Linked DNA regions of Caenorhabditis elegans. The protein of the gene in region 2 purifies or fractionates together with the protein of the main gene of each other region. This does not show direct contact. Each region holds a gene or a part of one and is shown on either strand. Other genes may lie near its edges.

What was found. The genes of interacting proteins can lie anywhere in the genome.
Region 1: the proteins of ttr-35 (region 2) and hrpf-2 fractionate together in Caenorhabditis elegans (co-fractionation; one large-scale study listed by BioGRID). This does not show direct contact.

What each region holds. Positions count from the first base shown.
Region 1 is NC_003282.8:6,371,935-6,382,287, forward strand, and holds hrpf-2 (RRM domain-containing protein), read right to left. Parts: upstream 4,590-10,353; 5' UTR 4,589-4,589; coding exon 4,486-4,588; intron 4,442-4,485; coding exon 4,148-4,441; intron 4,096-4,147; coding exon 3,958-4,095; intron 3,830-3,957; coding exon 3,685-3,829; intron 3,588-3,684; coding exon 3,523-3,587; intron 2,849-3,522; coding exon 2,616-2,848; intron 2,568-2,615; coding exon 2,374-2,567; intron 2,324-2,373; coding exon 1,663-2,323; 3' UTR 1,200-1,662; downstream 1-1,199. Other genes in the region: smg-3 (MIF4G domain-containing protein), read right to left, coding at 1-68, 121-350, 400-611, 667-845, 893-1,153; bli-6 (Nematode cuticle collagen N-terminal domain-containing protein), read left to right, coding at 5,173-5,253, 5,362-6,174; shl-1 (BTB domain-containing protein), read right to left, coding at 6,825-6,902, 6,952-7,033, 7,641-7,833, 8,235-8,337, 8,426-8,602, 8,870-9,085, 9,192-9,300, 9,869-10,317.
Region 2 is NC_003284.9:6,508,197-6,517,748, reverse strand, and holds ttr-35 (Transthyretin-like family protein), read right to left. Parts: upstream 5,465-9,552; 5' UTR 5,463-5,464; coding exon 5,373-5,462; intron 5,328-5,372; coding exon 5,118-5,327; intron 5,075-5,117; coding exon 4,937-5,074; 3' UTR 4,831-4,936; downstream 1-4,830. Other genes in the region: ttr-36 (Transthyretin-like family protein), read right to left, coding at 5,593-5,631, 6,337-6,435, 6,478-6,614, 6,668-6,812; glr-8 (Ionotropic glutamate receptor L-glutamate and glycine-binding domain-containing protein), read right to left, coding at 7,885-8,085, 8,134-8,359, 8,649-8,823, 9,406-9,490, 9,544-9,552.

The sequences.
Region 1 (10,353 bases), on a different chromosome or scaffold from region 2:
TCATCGTCACTAGCTTCCTCTTTTAGCGGTTTCATTTCCACACCGATTGCAGACGATATCTCTATAGCCTAAAATGAGGGGTTTTCTCAAATTTTCCTATTGGGTAATTAATTTTTGTACCATTTTCCGCAGAGAATCCAATTCAGACTGAAGATCATTCAAAGTTGTCTTTTCCTCATCACCAGCGTCTCCACGGCTTCTTTCCTGTCGTTTAACTCTCTTCATCGCCTTATTTCTTGCCGAACACGTTTTCTCGGTTTTCGAATAAAGTGAATCGTAGTATGATTTGAAGAGCTCACGAATCGACTTTTTCTGTTCAACTGAGAGAGCTGATGACTCAGGGAGTTCTTCTGAAAACATTGATAATGAATATACGCTCCTGATTAAAAAGATAACAACCGTCTTGAATCTCGACCGTTTCAGCATCATCCATTGGAATTGGCACAATATTTGCAATTTGCCATCCAACAGTTCTAGATACTGTAGCCAATAATCCAACATTGACAAAATCAGTCTTATCTGTTTGAATCAAATAACTTAATACAGCACCGAGAACTTGAAGTCCTTCCTTTTCATTGAAAACTCCACACAGGCAAAGTTCAGCGAGGAAGCTGGAAATATTTTATTTATTCTCAGATGAAAACTGTCTTATTAATGCAATCTAACATAATATCCACTCTCAATTTTGCAACATTTGCAATTTTGTCACTCTTTTTAACAGGAAGAACTTTTTTGAATTCCCCAGCCATCTGTTCACTGAAGTTTGAATATTTCGCAGAAATTGCAAGGCAGAGCTCTGTTACTTTCGGAATATCGGATAACTTCAATTTTGTCTCTATAATTCCCTGAAAAATTATCCGATTTTCAATGGAATTCGAAATCAAGAACCCACCGACGCCATTTCCTCAACAAATTTGCTTAAATTCAATTTCGATAATTCTTCAATTAATTGTGGAACAGTGGCCGCACTGAGAAGCTTCACTTTTTTCATAAAACTCGTCGTCTTTTTCAATGTTGAATCTAAACTTCGCAATTCTTTTTCGTTATCGAGCAAAGTTTCTCGAATCTCGACCATTTGAAGACGACTTGTTTCTTGATATTTTACACGCTTTTTCAGCTCTTCCAGCCATGATGTCTCGACTTTTCGCCGCATCTGCATAGACTGTGATAGAGAATCGTCATTTTACAAAATAAAGTGTACACTCAAGTATATAATTGAACATTCCAACATTCTATGAAACAACCAAGAAGTGAAATAATTATCCATGTCTCATTTCCTAATTAAAAAGAAATAAGAATTTCCAAATTGTAACATATTAAAACGCGGGGCGAACAGCCATTAAATATCAAAAAGGATACAGAAAAAAAAAACAATGAAAGTCTCAAATTCAGAAATCTATTAATTAATAAAAATTGTGTAGGAAGATCAAAGCATGATATTTTGATAGTTGAACAGAACAGAGGTAAAATAAGACGTTCGCGTTGGAAAATCATGAGAACAAGATAATAAATAACCGAGACCTCGGAGAACAGAGAAAAAAGTAAAGTGATACACTAGATTATAAGGAACAATGCTCATTTGTCTGGAAAATCGAAAGAACTGGGATTTTGGCAGGAACAGAAAAAAGGAAGTCAGAAGTGAAAAGAAAAAAAAGAAGATAATTAATATCCACTTCGATGATCTCCAGCTCCAGCTCCCCATCCTCCATAAGCACTGTGATGAGACGGTTGTTGTTGCTGAGCCCATGTTGGCTGTGAGTCTCTAGGTTCTCTTTGACGATCGTAAGCTCCTCCAGCAGATGCTCCATACGAATATGATTCGCCTGATCCATATGCAGAATGAGCAGCTGTGGGATATGTGGATGCAGGTTCTGCAGAATACGCAGACTGTGCTTGTGAAGCATAATAAGCATCCCAGCTTGCAGCATAACCTCCGGCAGCACTGCTCTGATCATAACTCGGACCAGTAGATGCTGCTCCATAACTTCCCCACGTATCAGGAGCCCGGCCATGCGCAGCTGGTGGTGCACGAATTGGAGCACTGCGTGGTGGGATGCCTCGTGGTTCATATTTGGGTTCTATATCGTATCCTCGTGGTTCCCGTGGGCCATATGGATCCCTTGATTCTCTGTATGATGGTGGCATAGCTTGAGGACCTGCCCTGTAGCCAGAGTCTCGTTGTGGTGGCCCTCCGCCACGTCTTCCTCCGTTAAGAATCGGATCAGGCGCTGGAGCAGCTGATGCATTCGTGCCACTTGTTTCTTTCCAAAGAAGACGACGCATTGGACCAGGCGCTCCACGATTATCAAACAGTTCGACATATCTACAAATAACAATAATTATTCCATGTTCTGATTATAAATTTCAAATTACCGTCTTCCCATTCTTTGATTGTTACGCGAGAGAGCGACTTGAAGATCGTTGTAATTGTCAAATTCCGCAATAGCATCTCCAGATGGACGACCAGTTTCGTTGATTCCTATTTTGACTGAATGGCATCGAAGTGGAGAAAAAAAAGCAGCGATAGCATGATCATCAGCATCATAAGGAAGACCACGCATATACACCTGAAAAATAAAATAATTTATTTTACAATCGCAGAAAAATACTCATACCCTCAGCGGATCATCGCCTCCTCTTCCATAATCACTGCGACCTCCTTGATCGTGTCCACCATTGTATCCATAATCCCGACGTCCGCCATAACTTCCACGATTGTAGTCATCATAACCACGATCATAGCTGCTGTCGCCGTATCTTCCACCACCACCTCGTCTTCCGTGGTCATATCCTGAATCCACGGACATCAGTGGGCGAATTCCAGTTCTTTCGTAAGATGCCGAGTATTCTGTAAAATAAAAATTGAAAATATTTATTATCAAGATTTGTTATATCAATAAATAGTAAACTAAATGAGCATTTCAAGAGACAATTTTTAAAATGTTGAAATTTGATGTGCACCGTAACAGAAATGTGCGCAGATTTGCTTTTCAAATATTTCGACATGTTTTAATAAAGGCTCATTCAGATGGGTCTTGGCGCGAAAATGAGTATATGGTAGTTTTTATTTAATTTTTGCTGCTGTTTCTTGCATTTTTGAATTAAATCACTTCTTTTCTTGCGAATTTTGTCTCGTTTTCTATTTTTTATCAGAAAAATGAGAAAAAGGAAGGGCAAGATTGGCGAAAAACTGAATAATTTCATTGAGAAATGAAAGAAAAAAAAAAAAAACAGAAATGCGAAAATCTACCGTATTGCGCACCGAGGCCCATCAGAATAAACCGGTGCGCCTTTAAGAAGATTTTGTGAAATTGCGATGAATTACACCTTTTTTGGTACATCATGTCTTCTTCTGTGCACTTTAAAAGTCTAATTAGAATGCGAGATTTCAAGGACTTCAGTTTTCACATGAAATATACATTTTGACAGTTTAGGTCCAGTATTAATTAAAATACTGGAAATCGTGGCAAGACCCGCCTAAAAGCAAGTATGCGCCTTTAAAGTGAACTACTGTAATCTCACCTCCCGATCCTCCACCTTTTGCTCGATTAAATTCGACCATACTTGACATGAATACTTCAACGTATCTGAAAAAAGACAAATTACTTTTTAAAAATTAAAAATTCACCAAAATGAACCCGTAATCAGCAGTTACCATAAGTCATCATCATCATCAATACCCACCTCGATCCCATGTGCCTGTTATTGTAATCCATCGCCTTCTCGGCCGCGTCTTGCGTCGTAAATCGAACGAACGCCTCCCCGGATGGTCTCGATCTCGGCCCACCCGTCCCGCCGATTACAATTTCCGCCGGTGGTGGTTCTAGCCCTGGATAGAATAAGGAAACCCATAAGTTAACGTCCAAAAATTCAAGAGGGGAAGGGGAATCTAGGCATTGTACATTACATTTCACCGGCAGACTATTTGGATTATTTCTACATACTTATTATACTCACCTTCGAAAAATTTACGAACATCATCTTCTTTGCAAGACCATGGAACACCACGCAATCGAATAACGTGATTAACTTCTCCATTGGAATCTGGATCTGGACGAAATTCGAACTCAGCTTCGTCCGCTTCGACGGTAAAAACTGAAATTAAATAGCTTTAATAATGTTTTTTTCTAGTTAGAATCACGCCTACCTTCAATATATCGGTTACTTATTTCTTTTCTATCGTTTTCCATAGCTTTACCAGCTTCTTCGGTATTCTTGAACTCCACGTATGCTTCACCATTCGGGCGTCCAGTTGTGCATACGAATTTGACTCGTTCAATCGTGAGCCCAGCGAAAAATTCGTGAATATCTTTCTCGGTAGCATTGAATGGAAGCCCACGCAATCTTATATATTGGCTTCTTGGTGGTTCTCCAGAAGAAATTTTTGTTGGCATTGATTCGTCTGCTTCCTTAATTGTCGATTGATGAATGTCTGGAGCATCTGAAATTTTCAGTTTAAAAGATTAATTTACGAGTAAACCGAACCTGCAGGTGCGGATTGAGTTTTCACTGCAATTTCCTCTTCTTTTACTGCTATTTCTGCCGACTGTTGGTCTTCTGTTGTCGGTTGTGTTGTTTGTTCCGACATACTGGAAAATGCATAAAATTCGTTATAATAAGAGGGTCGTTGTAGTCAATATTGAATTTAAAAAATAGAAAACTGACAATTATTTGAAAAATAAGACAAAAAACCGCAAAAAAAACGATTAAAATTCAAACTGTTGGAATTTTTCTGCGAGGAAAATAAATTTGAAAGATAAAGGCACAGTGCAGTGGAGCGCGTTTACCTTGTGAACTTCATGCATCAGACTTGACGACACATTGCGGACTTGCATCTCTGGAAAAAACCAAATTTGGTGGCGCCATGGCCAAATAAAAAATTAATATAAAAAAGGAATTAATGATTGCATTCACTCGGAATTTACATGCTAAACCACAATTGTTGATGTAAAGAAACGGAAAAGATCACAAATTATATGTAAACTGATAAGATTGTCTTTTGAAAAATTGGAAAAACCTCTTATCCTTCCATTTTTTGTGATGTTTTTCGTTCACAGCGCATCGGTTAGAATCTCAAAACTAGCATAGCCGTATCGGATGTTGAGAAAACCGTTGAAAAACTGAACAATATATAAGAGAAACGGGCAAAGCCACAATTTGTCGGCTTCAGAAATGGAGGTGGAGACTCGTGTTAAAGCGTATCGCTTTGTGGCCTATGCTGCTGTTACATTCAGTGTTGTTGCAGTACTTTCGGTGAGTAAAAACGTAGAAACAAGACTAATATTATGATTTCTTTGATAATTTGGAAGTGAATTAAAAATTAAACTGTGTCCAAAAACCCATTTATGAACTTTTTTGTAGGTATGTATCACACTTCCGATGGTCTACAACTACGTCTCGCACGTGAAGAAGGGTATTCATCACGAGATCCGGTACTGTAAGGGTTCTGCTAAAGACATTCTCAACGAGGTCTCCTCGATCCGTTCCAACCGTACCGCCCGTCAAGCTTCTTACGGAGATTCTGGTGCCGCTGGATCTGCTGGGGCCGCTGGAGGATCCTGCTCTGGATGCTGTCTTCCAGGTCCAGCTGGACCCGTCGGTACCCCAGGAAAGCCAGGTCGTCCAGGAAAGCCTGGAGTAGCTGGACTTCCTGGAAATCCAGGACGTCCACCACAAGCTCCATGTGACCCAATTACCCCACCACCATGCAAACCGTGTCCACAAGGACCACCAGGAGTTCAAGGACCACCAGGACCAGCTGGAGATGCTGGACTTGATGGACAGCCAGGAGGTCCAGGACAAGATGGACAACCAGGTCAACCAGGACCAAAGGGACCACCAGGAGTCAATGGACAACCAGGAGCACCAGGGCAAGATGGGAACCCAGGTCAAGATGCTCCATCTGAGCCACTTGTTCCAGGAGAACCAGGTGCACCAGGAGAGGCTGGACCACAAGGACCACCTGGACAACCAGGAACTCCAGGACAAAATGGTCAACCAGGTCAACCAGGACCAAAGGGGCCATCTGGACAACCAGGACAACCAGGATCTGATGGAAATCCAGGACCAGCTGGACAAGCCGGACAAGCAGGAAGTGTTGGAGAGAAGGGAATCTGTCCAAAGTATTGTGCTATCGATGGAGGAATCTTCTTTGAGGACGGAACCCGACGATAAACTGTTGATAATTGCATTATTTTATGTATCTGTTTATAAAGTTTTTTGTAGTTTAAAATGCAATTGGAATGAAGCGGAATGTTGTACAGTTACATTTTTTCAGCAATGAGCTGATACAAATGAACCAGCTCACTAAGTTAAAAAAAAGTAATTCCCTTTGTGGTTTTCTAAAATTAGAAAATAAATAAAACTTTATCGACAGACCTGGAAAATTGAAAAAAAAAAAACTGCACATAAAAAGTTAATTTTACTTCAATTTTATATTTCCATCTGAAAAATCAAAAAAAAAATGAAAGACATCTGCCACCAATGGGCAGATCATCGGAGAGGCTCCTAGTAGCGGGGAAAATTTAGAGAAAAGTCACCTCGAACTGAAAAAGAAAAAGAGCGATATGAAGTTTTTCGGGAAACGGGTTCAATGGAAATATATTTGTTTCTAACTTGAAAAAGTAAAAATTACAGAAAAAAACAAAATTGCATCGTTGATGAGAGATTGGGGAAACCGAATAGTTGGGAGGGATGATTTCAGAAAACTTTTGTAAAAGAACAACTAGCTTCTAGAAAGACGGAACCGGTAGAGCAATGAGAGAAATTTTCTATAGAAAATGATTTTTAGAAATCATTTTAAAAAAATAAAATAAAGAAGTAGATTACAGTTGCGATACGCAAATTTTGTCATTATTTCGATGATTGAGTTCCATTTCATCAGGTTTTGGTAATTCACAAATCTGAAATTAATAATATAATTTTCAACAAATAACTGGTGTTAGTTTATACCTGATCCATATTCTGATTGAATGTTACACGAGTCTCTCGATCCAACTCTTCCATTTCTTCATTTTCTTTTGAAACACAGCATCTAAAAAAAATAAATTTCAGGAGATTTGTTGTTTTAACTCAAAATTGTGATCCAAAAATCAAAAATATCACCAAGGAAAAATGACAAAAATAAGAAGTAAATCCAACATCAAGAATTTAAGGTTTTTCCACTTTTGTCAATTTTGCTATTTGAATTCCCTCTAAAGTTGCACCAACGAGACCATTTCGTGGTACACTCACTTTTCGAATGGGGTTCTAATTTAAAATACTCAAAATATTGCTGACAAAGAAGAAACTCAAAAAAATTCAAGAAATAATTGAAACTACAATTTTTGAAAACATGGTATTTCAACGCTGCCTAATATCCTTGTTCTATGTTTGGTGGGAATTCAAGCAGACATCTTAGCCAGGGTTGCAGAGGCATATTTTTGAATTTTGGATTTTAAAACGCAACAATATTTTCTACAGTTTTCATTTTCATTCATGATTATTTTCCATTTTAAATGCATTAACGAAAAGAAAGCATCAGTGAATTTTTTTGATGATAATTTATTTTATTGATGAATAGTATAAAATTTTTTCTTATTTTTTTACCCTGAAATCCAGAGACTAATAAATCTTCAAAGGATTGAAAATCAAAAACTCACAATCGCCTTTTACGCTTTGTTTTTCCTTTCAATGAAGCTGTTTCACTGGGCGGAGGAGTATTTCTTCCACCTTCAAACATCACTTCTGATTCAACAAATTCACGTTCCGTCGCTTTTTCTAGACACTGAAGAAGATGATGATGTTGGATTTCGAAGATATCTTCGTCTCGGAGAGCATCGAAAGAGAGATGACCTGCAAAAATGCACTTTTTAGAGTTATCTCAATTATAATCTAGAATTTTGTACACATAATTTTTTTTTAATGTTTCACATTGCTAATAAATTAAGTAACCGAAAACCTAAAACATTAAATATAAAAAAACGGAATAAAAAAAAACCACAGAATCTGTTTTTTATACCGGATTCAAAATTTGTGCCCTCTTGAGCAAGCGGAATCACGAACTGTTTTTATTAATTTTTAATTTTAATGTTTTATATTTGCTTTTTTTGAGCCAACAGAAATGCCAAGAGACCGAAAAACAAAATGGAATACTTTTCTATATTTCCAAAGTTAAATATTTTTGTGACAACTCAATAATAACTAACTTAAGCCGGCAATACGAAATGTTCTAATGAAAAAAAAAACCAACTTACCCTGTTCAAATGCTAGCATCCGAGCTTCATGAGCTCTCTTCTTATTGAATAATGCTAGTCCAGACGCGTTTTTAACGATCCGAATTCTAGCAAGACGGGCTTTCTGAAAATTGATTAAATTTAATCCAACAAATTTGCAAAAAAATCACTAAGTGTTTAAAAAGGTTTTACAACTGAACGAAAAACCATACCTTCTGTGCTTTTCTCTTGTCAGCTCTCTGATTTTGATGATAAATTCGAGAGAAATTGCTGACAATAACTGGAACTGGAAGAGCAATAACCAACACTCCAGACAGTGAGCATACTCCTCCAACTATTTTACCCATTATTGTTGATGGAACCATGTCTCCGTATCCAAGAGTTGTTAGCTGAAAGAAAAATTAATTTTTTATTATGAAAAACAATGACTGTGTTGTATGAATAGGTTTCACCTTTAGTCTTCAGTGATTTGTATAATTAAAAAAAAAATATTTTAATTTTTAATTTTTCCAATGCAAATATTAACTTTAAAATTTACATTTTCCTAGTGCATTTGGGATAAGGTATTTGCAAAACGTTGAAGGTTTTATGGAGAGTATTTAACGTAAAAATCAAAATTTCAACCCCGTTTCTTAATTTTACAAAGAAAAACTCACAGTCACAATTGTATACCAGAAAGCTGACGGAATCGAGGTAAATCTCGTCGCGTCGACCTTTTTCTCCGCATAATACATAATAGTGGCAAATATGATAATTGCCATTGCCAGTGAAAATACAAGGAATCCAAGTTCACTTGCACACGATTTAAGAGTGTAACCCAGAATTCGAAGACCTTGGGAATGTCGTGAGAATTTGAATATTCGGAAGACACGCTGTAAATTTTAGAAGGATTTGATCAAAGAATTAATGATTTTTATCAGAATGTTCGAAAAAATATTTGGATATTCAATTTAAGGATTAACAAAAGAAAAAACTTACGAAAACTCTTAAAGTGACAAACAAGCCGGATACATCCTTATTGTCAGTTAGTACCAAACTAACGTAGTAAGGCATTATGGCAATCACATCGATTACACTCATTATTGACCTGAAAAAAGAAAACCATTTAAATGGTTAAAAAAATAAGGACGAATAAATAACATGTTATCCAATTTTGACAAATGTGTCCTTAATTATTTTACAGTTTCATGATTGTTATGAGAAACATCTCTATATTTTTGAACTGATAATTTTGAACAAAACTTTTGAAATCATAAAAATGCATTAAAGACGGGCTAGAGGGTCATACTGAAATGGTTGAATTTTGTAATGAGACTTCTCAAAAAATTTTCCAATTTTTTTTTGGCGGCACAAGATTTTGAAAAGAATTACGATTATTTTAGCTCAAATCTTGAATTTCGCGAACTTTCCCATAGCATTGGGTAATTCGTTTTTATTTGATTATTATTCCTAATTGCGTTTTGCTAATTTATTTTTGTATTAAATAATTGGTTGATTAAATTGTCTCTAAAGCCGATAGGTAATCAAAAAGCGTCAAAATTGGATAATTAGAAAATTCAAAATTTTATTGCTGTTTCAAATGAGTTTGATAAAATCAGTGAATATTTAACTTATTAGTGTGAGAAGTTTACATATTGATATTAAAAGAAACGTACCTCATAAATTTGATTCGGTCCGGCGCAGAAATCAACCGTAAAAAGTACTCAATCGTAAAAATGATAACACACGCTGTATCGATAACAAAGAATTGCTCTTCATAGGCTTCTCCACACGTCACAGACACATTATCCTCATACCCACAAGGTATTGTTTCCACTATATTACACATCACTGATACAGCAATAAAAAATCCAATGACATAATAAAATACAAGTGCTATTGATGTTGTGTGCGGATTCTCGAATGCCGCCCACATTTTCTCTTTAAGAGACAATTTTAATGTTGATATATCCGCATTTTCTACACGTTCTTCTTGTAATCTTTCTTGATTTTCTCGTTTTTTATCTTTATAGTCTTCATAGCAACAATCTGATATCAAATCAGGCATTATTCCAAAGAAACTGAGCTCTTCGTCGTATGCAACAAGACATTCATGACGGGGATACTGAAAATATGGATTTCTGGGAAAAATGGAAAGTGG
Region 2 (9,552 bases):
TATGACGCACTGTCTGATTTTGTTTGTCGCCTTATAAACTTGCAAAAAAATTACGTATTTGATAATATTCTGATATGCTCAACTTTTGCATTTCAGTGCCACAGTTTAAGCCATTGATAAGTCTAAAATTCTCGTGATTGATTACGATTTGCATCATAAATCACTAAATCATGTAACCCGTGTTTATCGCTGGAAAAAAGAAAACATTTAAAAAAAGTGAAATTTGAAGCAGCGAACTAAACTGCTGATAAAAAAGCGCACTCAGCAATTTTTTGTGAGCTGCCTATCAAGAAACAAAAGGGAAATGAAAACTTAAAATCATTGTGAGAATTATTGTTTTTTTTTCACATGCGTTGTATCTCCACAATGACAAAAATACCCTGCTGTCGCGAGAATTATTTGACTTGGTGTTTTGTGCTTTTCGTCAAAAATGAGGCAGCGGCAATTCGCAGAGGTCCAGAGCGCCTGAAGTCGTTTTGCAAACATCCAAGTGACCGGCTACCGTACGGCACCAGTGAAGGCTCTCTGTCTGCCAAGCCGAGCGAGCAACAAACAAAACAACTGGCTCAGCTCCTCGGAGCACTCTCACCTTGCGCCACAAGCACCCCCATCTCCCGTCCGATATATATTTTCACACTGTTTGACCGGTGGCCCAATACTTAAACAATGTCATATCGAGGCGGACAGTGGCTCCGATTCTTTGCAATTCGAGGACTGTGAAGGATTTTTGATTGGCAATTTTAAATAGTGTTGGGAGAATAAACAAATAGAGAGATAATCAAAAGTATCGGTATATATGAGAAGAGTCTGCCAATGATTGAAAATATTTTTAGGGCAATAATGATAAAGGGAAATAGCCTTGGAAAAAATTTATTGCCTTCAAGTATCTTCTCAAAAACAGGTCATGATGAAATTTGTTAAAAAAATGGATTTGAACTCGTAAAAATTTTGAGCATACATTAGATTAAACTGATCAAACTAATACAACAAACTTCAACAATACAAATCACTGTTAAAAGTAACAAAAAAAGTTCGATGGCAATGCCATAAAGTATAAAATATAAACGAATTTCGAGTATTTCGAGAGCATTTTTGACATTGAATGCTTGTTGCTCAGTGTCGTCGAAGACTCATGGAGCCCCCTCCCTGTAACCGGCTCCGGCGGCAGCAGCACAAAAAGCAAAAAAATAATTGTGGACAGACCGGGAGGCGGTGCCCTCCGCGCGGCTACCGCGCATACTCTCTTTAACCCAAACACACTCTCGCGGCTCTCAATACCCGGCGAGGCCTGTTTTTTTCTTATTCCGCTCCAGGTTGACATGCATGTGGAGCACAAAAAATCGGTGGACGGTAGGGGTGAACTCATTTCGAAACGTTTATGAAGAAAGATGATAAATTTTTGGAAAAGGGTAAATCAGATTTGAAAAAAATCAGAAAAAAATCAGATTTGAAAAAAAAAATTAATTTTAGAGGTAAAGTTAAAAATTTCCAAAGATTAGTATATATCCTACGGGGAAATTTTTCAACTCGTTTGTATTGTTTGTAAATGATTAGATACCAGATTACCACATCTCCATATTACAATTTTTCAAAACGTTCGTGAATTAATTATTTGCAGTCAAATCATAGTTTTGTCGGGAAGCTCAAAAGCAATTGCTTGTGATTTTTTTGTTCCACTTATTTTCCTTTCAAAAATAGCCCGGTTTAAACGTGTGAAACTAAACTAAATTTCTCAAAATGTTCAAATCTTTTGATAATTTATTATGGTCATAATAAATTATCAAAAACATAAATATTGGGTATCACTTATTCAAAAACTCCGCATTCCAAAGTAAGAGAAAGTTTGGATTGATAAGTATGAAGGAATTTTGAAAACTTAATGCATATTAATTGTGTTATCTATATGTGACTCAAAATCAAAACAGGAAGGATTGAAAAGCTTTACAATAAACAAAATTGTTAGCGAAACCTAAAATTGCATACCAGGGAGGTGAAAAGTTTGAATAATGAAAGAAAGGGAGCTTTAGGATTCTGGGGATTTCAGAGAATTTGAAAAATGACAACAAAAGGAAAGGGATCGTGTTCTTGTCAGAGGTCAAACTTTTTGATGTTGTCCGAAAAGTGGCCCATCTCCTCCTCACCCTCCTCCTTCTCACTCATTCCCTCCATCTAGCCCCTATTTTGCCCCCTAACGAGGGATCGAAACAGAGATGAGGGAGGCCGATTTCAGGTGAAAGTGCTGGCGCGGTGCGTCACGAGAAAAGTGAAATGAGTGAAGAGCGAGGATCCAGGTCATTGGGGTGGCCTTTTCCTTCTCTCGTATTCCCTTGTTGTCTGTCTCGAAGAAGCCGTGTACGATATGTTTCTGTCTCTCTCATTTTCTCTGTCTGCCTCGTAACCCGTAGGCTTCTTCACATGATCTCTTTTTACTTCAACAAGATTCTGCGGAGCGTCGTTGTCAAGAAGGGAAACATAGTGAAGGAGACGGTGACTGTAGGATGAACGACGATTTTCTTTACCGACTAGTTTACTTTCGTTCACTTTCCCGGACATTTGCAAGAAAAAACACATCGGTAGGAAGAAGCAGAAAAGATGATGTGTACACTATTACTGTATGAAAAGAAACGTGTACAACGCCACACTTACTGTCATTTCACCTTTTGACGAGTCTTGATGAAAACGAAAGGTCCAGCTTAAGAGGATGATCAGGAGAAAGAATAGGGATGAAGTATGAATTTTGAGGAAAAAGCTAGAAACAAAAAAGAAATGAAAAAACGAGTAAAGCTCCGTGCAAAATTGAAGGATCGGTTACGAGGTAATTGGAAGGTTTGTATGGAAACCGAAAAAATCTGAGAAGATGATTAATGGCAAAATTCAGTTTCCAATCTAAAAGTTCCCAACAATTTCAACCAGGAAATAAGGAAAGTGGATATTGTTATGGAGTCGTCGGGTCAGATTTGTTATCGCTTGTTCGGCGGCGCAACCGATCCTTCATCGTCATTGTTGCATATCTCTAAAGCTAGTGGCGATTCGCGTCATAAAAGTTATCACATTTGCAAGAGATAATGATTGTGGTGTCATTCGTCAATATCAACACCTTAGAGTAGACTTTGATAAAAGAAGAAGATGATAGCGATATCAATAAAAAAAGATTGGCATTTTGTTAGTTGTTTATATGTATGAGTTGGTGGCAATTTAATCAAATGATGACTACGACCTGTGAAGAAATCATAGAAATTCATTTAAATAGTGCTGAAATTACCCAATATTTTAACAAAACGTTTCAAAGTATTTTATTTCCAGTCAAATTAAATTTGCACCAGGTACCGAGAAATCTAATGCAATGTTGCATGTTCAGACCGTACAATGTTGAAATATAAATGATTAAACATGATTAGCGGGCAAAACTGTGACAGTTTGTTGATCGTTTATGTATTTTTGATGCTATAAACTTTGAACTAAAAGATGGATAATTTAGCTTTGGCCTTTAAACCCTAGTAAAATGTCGAAACATTTTGGTCTGCACGGAGTACATGAAATCAATATTCAAGTTACAAGAACAGATTTCCAAAACACCTAGTAGAAATCGGAAAACATATAAAATGGAAAAGCATGTACAATTTTTTAAGCCATATAACAGAAACTTTTTTTTTGAAAAGTGACAATATAGGTGAATGACCCAATAAAAGTGCGTTCGGTGAAATTTTGCTTGAGTTGAAGAAAGTATTTGTTTGCACACTCGCATGAATAGATGAGACCCAATAATATAGGTCGGATGAAACACCTTCGGATTTCAAATCTCTTCACCTCTTACTGTTCTGGGTCGTGGTCACCAATAAAAAAGCATGTTTCACTTTCGCCTCTTCCACTACTACAACAAATATATTGGCGCGGCCGGGAGACAGCGTCGATCCTACGCCGGTGGCATGTCGTGTCAGAAAAAAACGCAAGACGGTCAGCGAGATTATGGAAGAAAAATGGAAAACGTTGGTTTTTTCTCTAAAAAAGGAAAGTTAGCTAGTGGTGGTATGCGCGGACAGTATTGGAAGCGTCATCAAGATGCGCAACACTTAAAATTTTTGGAAGATAGCATCGCCGAATATTTGGCCTCAAAAAAGCCATCTTTAATAGGCTGAAGGAGGCGATAGTGAATATGGAAAAGTGAAATACTTTTCAAAAATAGTTAGTAAGGAGGTGCATACTGAAAGTTTAACTTTATTCTCAAAATTCTGAAAATAACAAGACGTTTTCAATATATCGTCTATTACAATAATCTCATTGACATCTAAATTCAGAATACCGATATTTTTGTATGATTTCTTATAAATGAAATATTGCTATTAATTTCATACTACAAACAACTTAACACAAAAACAATAAACTCTCCGATTATCTGATAACTTTTAAAATATTGTGGTCTACTACGGGTCAAAGGAAGCTGAGCTCAATTCGGATAGATACAAGTATCAACTAATTTTTTCTATTCATCTAGGCAAAATATGTTTTCATTACAAGTAAAGTTGTGCAGAATTACATTAGCACCGACCGGCTCGCAAACTAAATATTAAAAATTGCAAATTCCAAAACTCCAGAAATGAACCAGAAATTTTCAAATTTTTGTTCCAACTGGTCAGTGCCTCAAGTTTTTAACATGTTTTTTTGTAATCATAATTTTGCTTGTGTTTTTGCCACATGAGCTGTTTAGAGTCCTGTTACCTGGCACCTAGAAATTGTTCGTTTTTTTAATAGTTTGAGAATAAAAGTTTTAAAAAATATAGTTTTAGACTTAAAATTTTATGTGATCAAATTTTTTAATCAAGTGTGACGCTATTAATAGAAAATTTCATTTCAAAACTGATAATGCGAATTCAATCGAAACATAGCTTTTTAGAATGATTTAACTTATACAAATAGTTTTTAAAAGGCAAATTAAAAATTAATGATTGCAGTCTCTGCTCTCTCCAGGAAGGATTCCTTCTAAATTCCAAATTCCAATATCAAAAGTCTTCGGTGTGTCAGTGTCCGAATAAATGTAGTTGTTTGGCAATTCAAACTTCCAACGTCTTTGGCATGGCTGAAAATAAGTTTTTGTGTTGCATGAATAATTAGAAACTTACATTAATTCCGTCATCACAATCGTGGTAGATTTTCAGGTGAGGATCAATAGTTGTGAGTTCCGTGGTGGATCCACTCAATTCGAACTCTCCGTTTGCGTTTGTATAGCCGCTACCCAAATCATCATCAGGGTCGGATCCAAAGTCGTCATCTATCAGCTTTACTTGAACATTTTTTACTGGAACATTGCCACATCTAAACGCGCCTTTCACCTGAAAAAAACTGTCTAAATAATTTGAATTTCTGATAAAGCCCACTCTGTAGTTTTGACGTCCAGAGTGCGATTCCGATGCAGCCAAGACAACTGATAGAACACATGTTCCAAGGATCAAAAGTTTGGAAATCATCTCTGAATTATACAAATTTTAATAAGGAAAATTAAAAAAAAAAGATAGAAAAGTTGGTCAGAAACCAAACATTAAAGATGACAACAATTTTAAGAACCATATTTATTTGTTAAAGTTGAACATTATTCAGTTAGTGAGCACAGCTTCTACTTTCGTTGTCCAATTCGATCTGAAAAAAATATGATTGATAATTTTTGACTAGAAAATTAAATTTGCCAGCTTTTCAATCATTGCGTTCATTTGAACTTGAAAACAATTACTGAATATGATTATTAACATTGTTTTTTAATAATATTGCTAAACATTGTGAGGGGGTTCTTTTTGCCGACCCACCTTCACTTTAACTCAATGCAACTTAAAGCAAAATACCCACGGACGACACTATGCAGCGTTCAAATCAGCATGTCAAATTTATATTACCGTATATTCTCTATTAGTTTTGCACCTCTATTAGTTTTGCATCAAATTAGGTGTCCGAAAATTAGTTTTGCACGCCTTACTAATAGAGGATATACGGTAAATATAAAATAGGCTATACAAGGATTTACATATAGGTTGAGCCGCACACCTATATATCGAATAATTTTTCGAAAACTTATTATAAAACCTGATAAAAACACAAAACAATAAAAAGGTACGGTACACGGTTTCGTTCCCCCCAAAATGATTTTTAATTATTTAACACTACCTTTTTAATTTTAATCCACACGTGAATGTTTATTTTAATACTGTTTTCATGTTTAGGCTTAGAAAATAATTTCCCTAAGCCTGAGAATGAAGAAAAAGTTCACGTCTCAATTAGAAAATATGGAAATCACTTTGGGGGGGGGACGAAACCCATAAATACCAAAAGTACTTTTAATCAATCACCAACCTCCAAATTTAAAACTCCTAGATCCATGATTTCCTTCACTTCTGGCCCATTAGTAATGTATTTTGCTGGTATCCGGATAACCCATTCTCGTTGGCAAGGCTGAAAAAAGGTTAAAAATTAATATTACAAATTGGCACCTACGCTTCCTTGATCATTGCAGTCATGGAAAATTCTTAGTTCTGGATCAATTGGTGTCAGCTCCATTGAAGACCCAGACAACAGAAAGTTTCCATCGTCATCGGTTGTTTTTTGATCCAATACATCGTCTGGGTCTGGGCCTAGAAATTCAATTGGTACGTCACAAACTTGCAATTAATCGAGGATCACTAACCATTATCTTCATCAAAAAGTTTCAAGTTCACACCAGCAGCTGGTTTACTTCCGCACATGAGTCTACCTTTGACTCCAGTCGATTGAGTACGGAATGCAAATGCTCCACCGATTAATAGTAATGTAAGAACTAGAGTCTTCATCATCTATTACTGAAATTTAAAGTTGAATTTCATATTTTTGGGAAATAATCTAGTTTTCGAGAAAAGGTATCAATTGTCAAGAAAAAATATTTATTGAAAGAGACGAAATGTTGAGTTAATGAAGTAGATAACGAAATGTTGACAGTTCCGAGAAAATTTAAGTCAAACACAATAAAATCAAAATTGAGTGACAGTGTTGTTCAAATTTTGATAAATGGATTTGGGTCACTTGTCTGAACTCACATTTCCGAGTATAGAAATCATGAACTATTATAGAGTAAAAAGTACAAATTTCTCTGTGCAAAACCGAATGTTTTTTTTTGGTTTTTGAAATTTTTAATTGTTTTGAGACCCAACAGACCCCAACATGTTTGTTTTTTTGATAAATTACTGAAATGGTTAAAAAATCTTTTGTGGCTGATCAATCAATTCACAAAAAGCATTTAAATAAACGGGATAATGTTAGATAAACACACAATATATACAAGAAGTAATGATAAAATAAAAACGATTTTCCAAATTGTACTACACAAAAAGTTGTCAAAACTGGAGAATTTAGTTAAAACTGTTTATTCTAAATTTTGAACCACCATAAAAATTTTGAGAAACTTTTGAAAAGTCTCATTTTGAATATTGTTTATTTGAGCACATTTTACGTACGTACAAGCAAAACAAAAACCAGAACCTCCTCCTTTATGGTGTCTTATTTGACGTTCAGAAAAAAAGTCATTGGACTTTTAGTCTTTTGAATCATATTCAAAAAAAAAAAATAGAAAAATAATAATCAAACAAAAACTGGAAATGGGGTTAAAGTCTAACGTCTATAATTAAATGTTTTCTGAAAGTTATAAAATCAAAGATAAAACGCGATAAAATATCATAATCAATACGCGAGGTCAAGTGATAACGTTGAAGAAAGTGGTTGTGAAATGAGCTAGTGGGGTGCCATAAGGCGTCGTGTTGACCGAAAACAAGACGACAGTTGGTCCGAAGACTCTCGATTTATTGCATTACGAACGTTTGGAAAGCCACATGGTTCAATAGGAAAATGAATTGAAGAGATCAGATTGATTCATCAGTTTGCGATATTTGATAAATCAAGAGAAAGATTAAGTATATTTCGACGGCGTAAACTCCAGTTCCCATCTTCACTCGGTAAAGGTGCAGAAGGCAGAACTTCATCTGGGATATCTAAACTAGTAGAGTTTTCAGCTACATTCGCAGAAACTGTTGCAACTTCTGGGGGCACAGTTGTTGTCTTCGTGTGTTTCGTCATCTTAAATTACATATTTCTTAATATATAGAAGACTAAAAATGAACTCACCTTTTCTCTGAAAAATTTGAATATAAACTCGCCAACGAAAAGAGCTAAACCAAGTCCAGCACCACCAAGAAAAACCCAAAATGCTCCCTGGGCACGTTTCAAATCCAAGTAACTTTTCGGACCGATGGTGGTAGAGTTGCACTCATTTATTTTCTGCATAGCAACGTAGGATCTGTAGTCTGCTATCCATTTTTGTGTGAAACCTCGTTCAACCATTTCTCGAATTCTGGAACAGTTTTTTTCAAATAAAATGTGACATTTTCTAAATTATAATTTGTCCCCTCTCAGTTATTTTTCTCAAATTTTTGGTGGCTTTGTTTTGTAAAGTGCAAGATGTTCTAGCGCCACATAATATTTCGGATGTTTTTTCGGAGGTTATTAAAATATGTAGATGTATGTAACTATAATATATTCAAAATATTTTGAGATTCAAATATATTACTAAAAGTTATGAACACTTCTCAACAGCTGATTTTTTTCCAATTTCATATTTTCCAATTCCCTCTCGTACTAACTTTGTTGAGAAATACGGCGAATAAATTGAGTTTTTCACAAGAGGAATGGAAAGGTAAACAGGCAAAATTCCGTCATTAAAGAGTATCACTTTACAATCGGAATACGCGTAAAAGTTCAGTGTGGCCATTGGTCCAAGAAGTGCATATCCTGGATTTGCTCGAACAAATGCAACACCTGAAAATAGGAATTACAGAGTTTTAAATGGAATATCACACGTGGTATTCTCAGTCTGTACAACATATTCCGTCCTACCAGTTAGTAAAACAGTTAATATTAAAAAATTCCACAAAAAGATAAGAAACATTTCTACGAAACTAGAAAAAATACAAAATACGGGTAGAGCGTATTGCTTTTTTTAAAACTATACTGTCTGTATTTTCCTTTCCTTATATAACGAAGCGTAACAAAGTAAGACACAAATCTTACAAGTAATAGGTCATATTTAGTAGAGCTTGTTGCATTATTAACTTAAACAAATTAAAATTGGCTGCAACAGTATTTAATAATGAAAGTTCTCATAAACTAATCAAAAGATGTTCCATGATGGTTGAAAAATTCGCAAAAAAAACCTAGATATATCCCGACCGCTGCGATAAGAAGCTGACATAATTTGGCCCTGTCAACAATTATTCATTTGCCATAAAATAGTTGCAAGAATTCATAATAAAATTCAACTTATGAGTTCAGTGTTAGTTCATTTAAGCAAAAACAATAACCACACACTTCACTATTTTTTTAATAAGTAGAAATATTTACCTCTAGCTATTCCATTCACGTATTTCACTTTATGATTCACTATCATCTCATGCCATAAATCTCGGTAAACAGGAAGTTTTGAACGCTGAATTTATTTTTATTTTGTTTTTTTTTTCGAAAAAATTGTGTAAAACTAACTGCAATCAT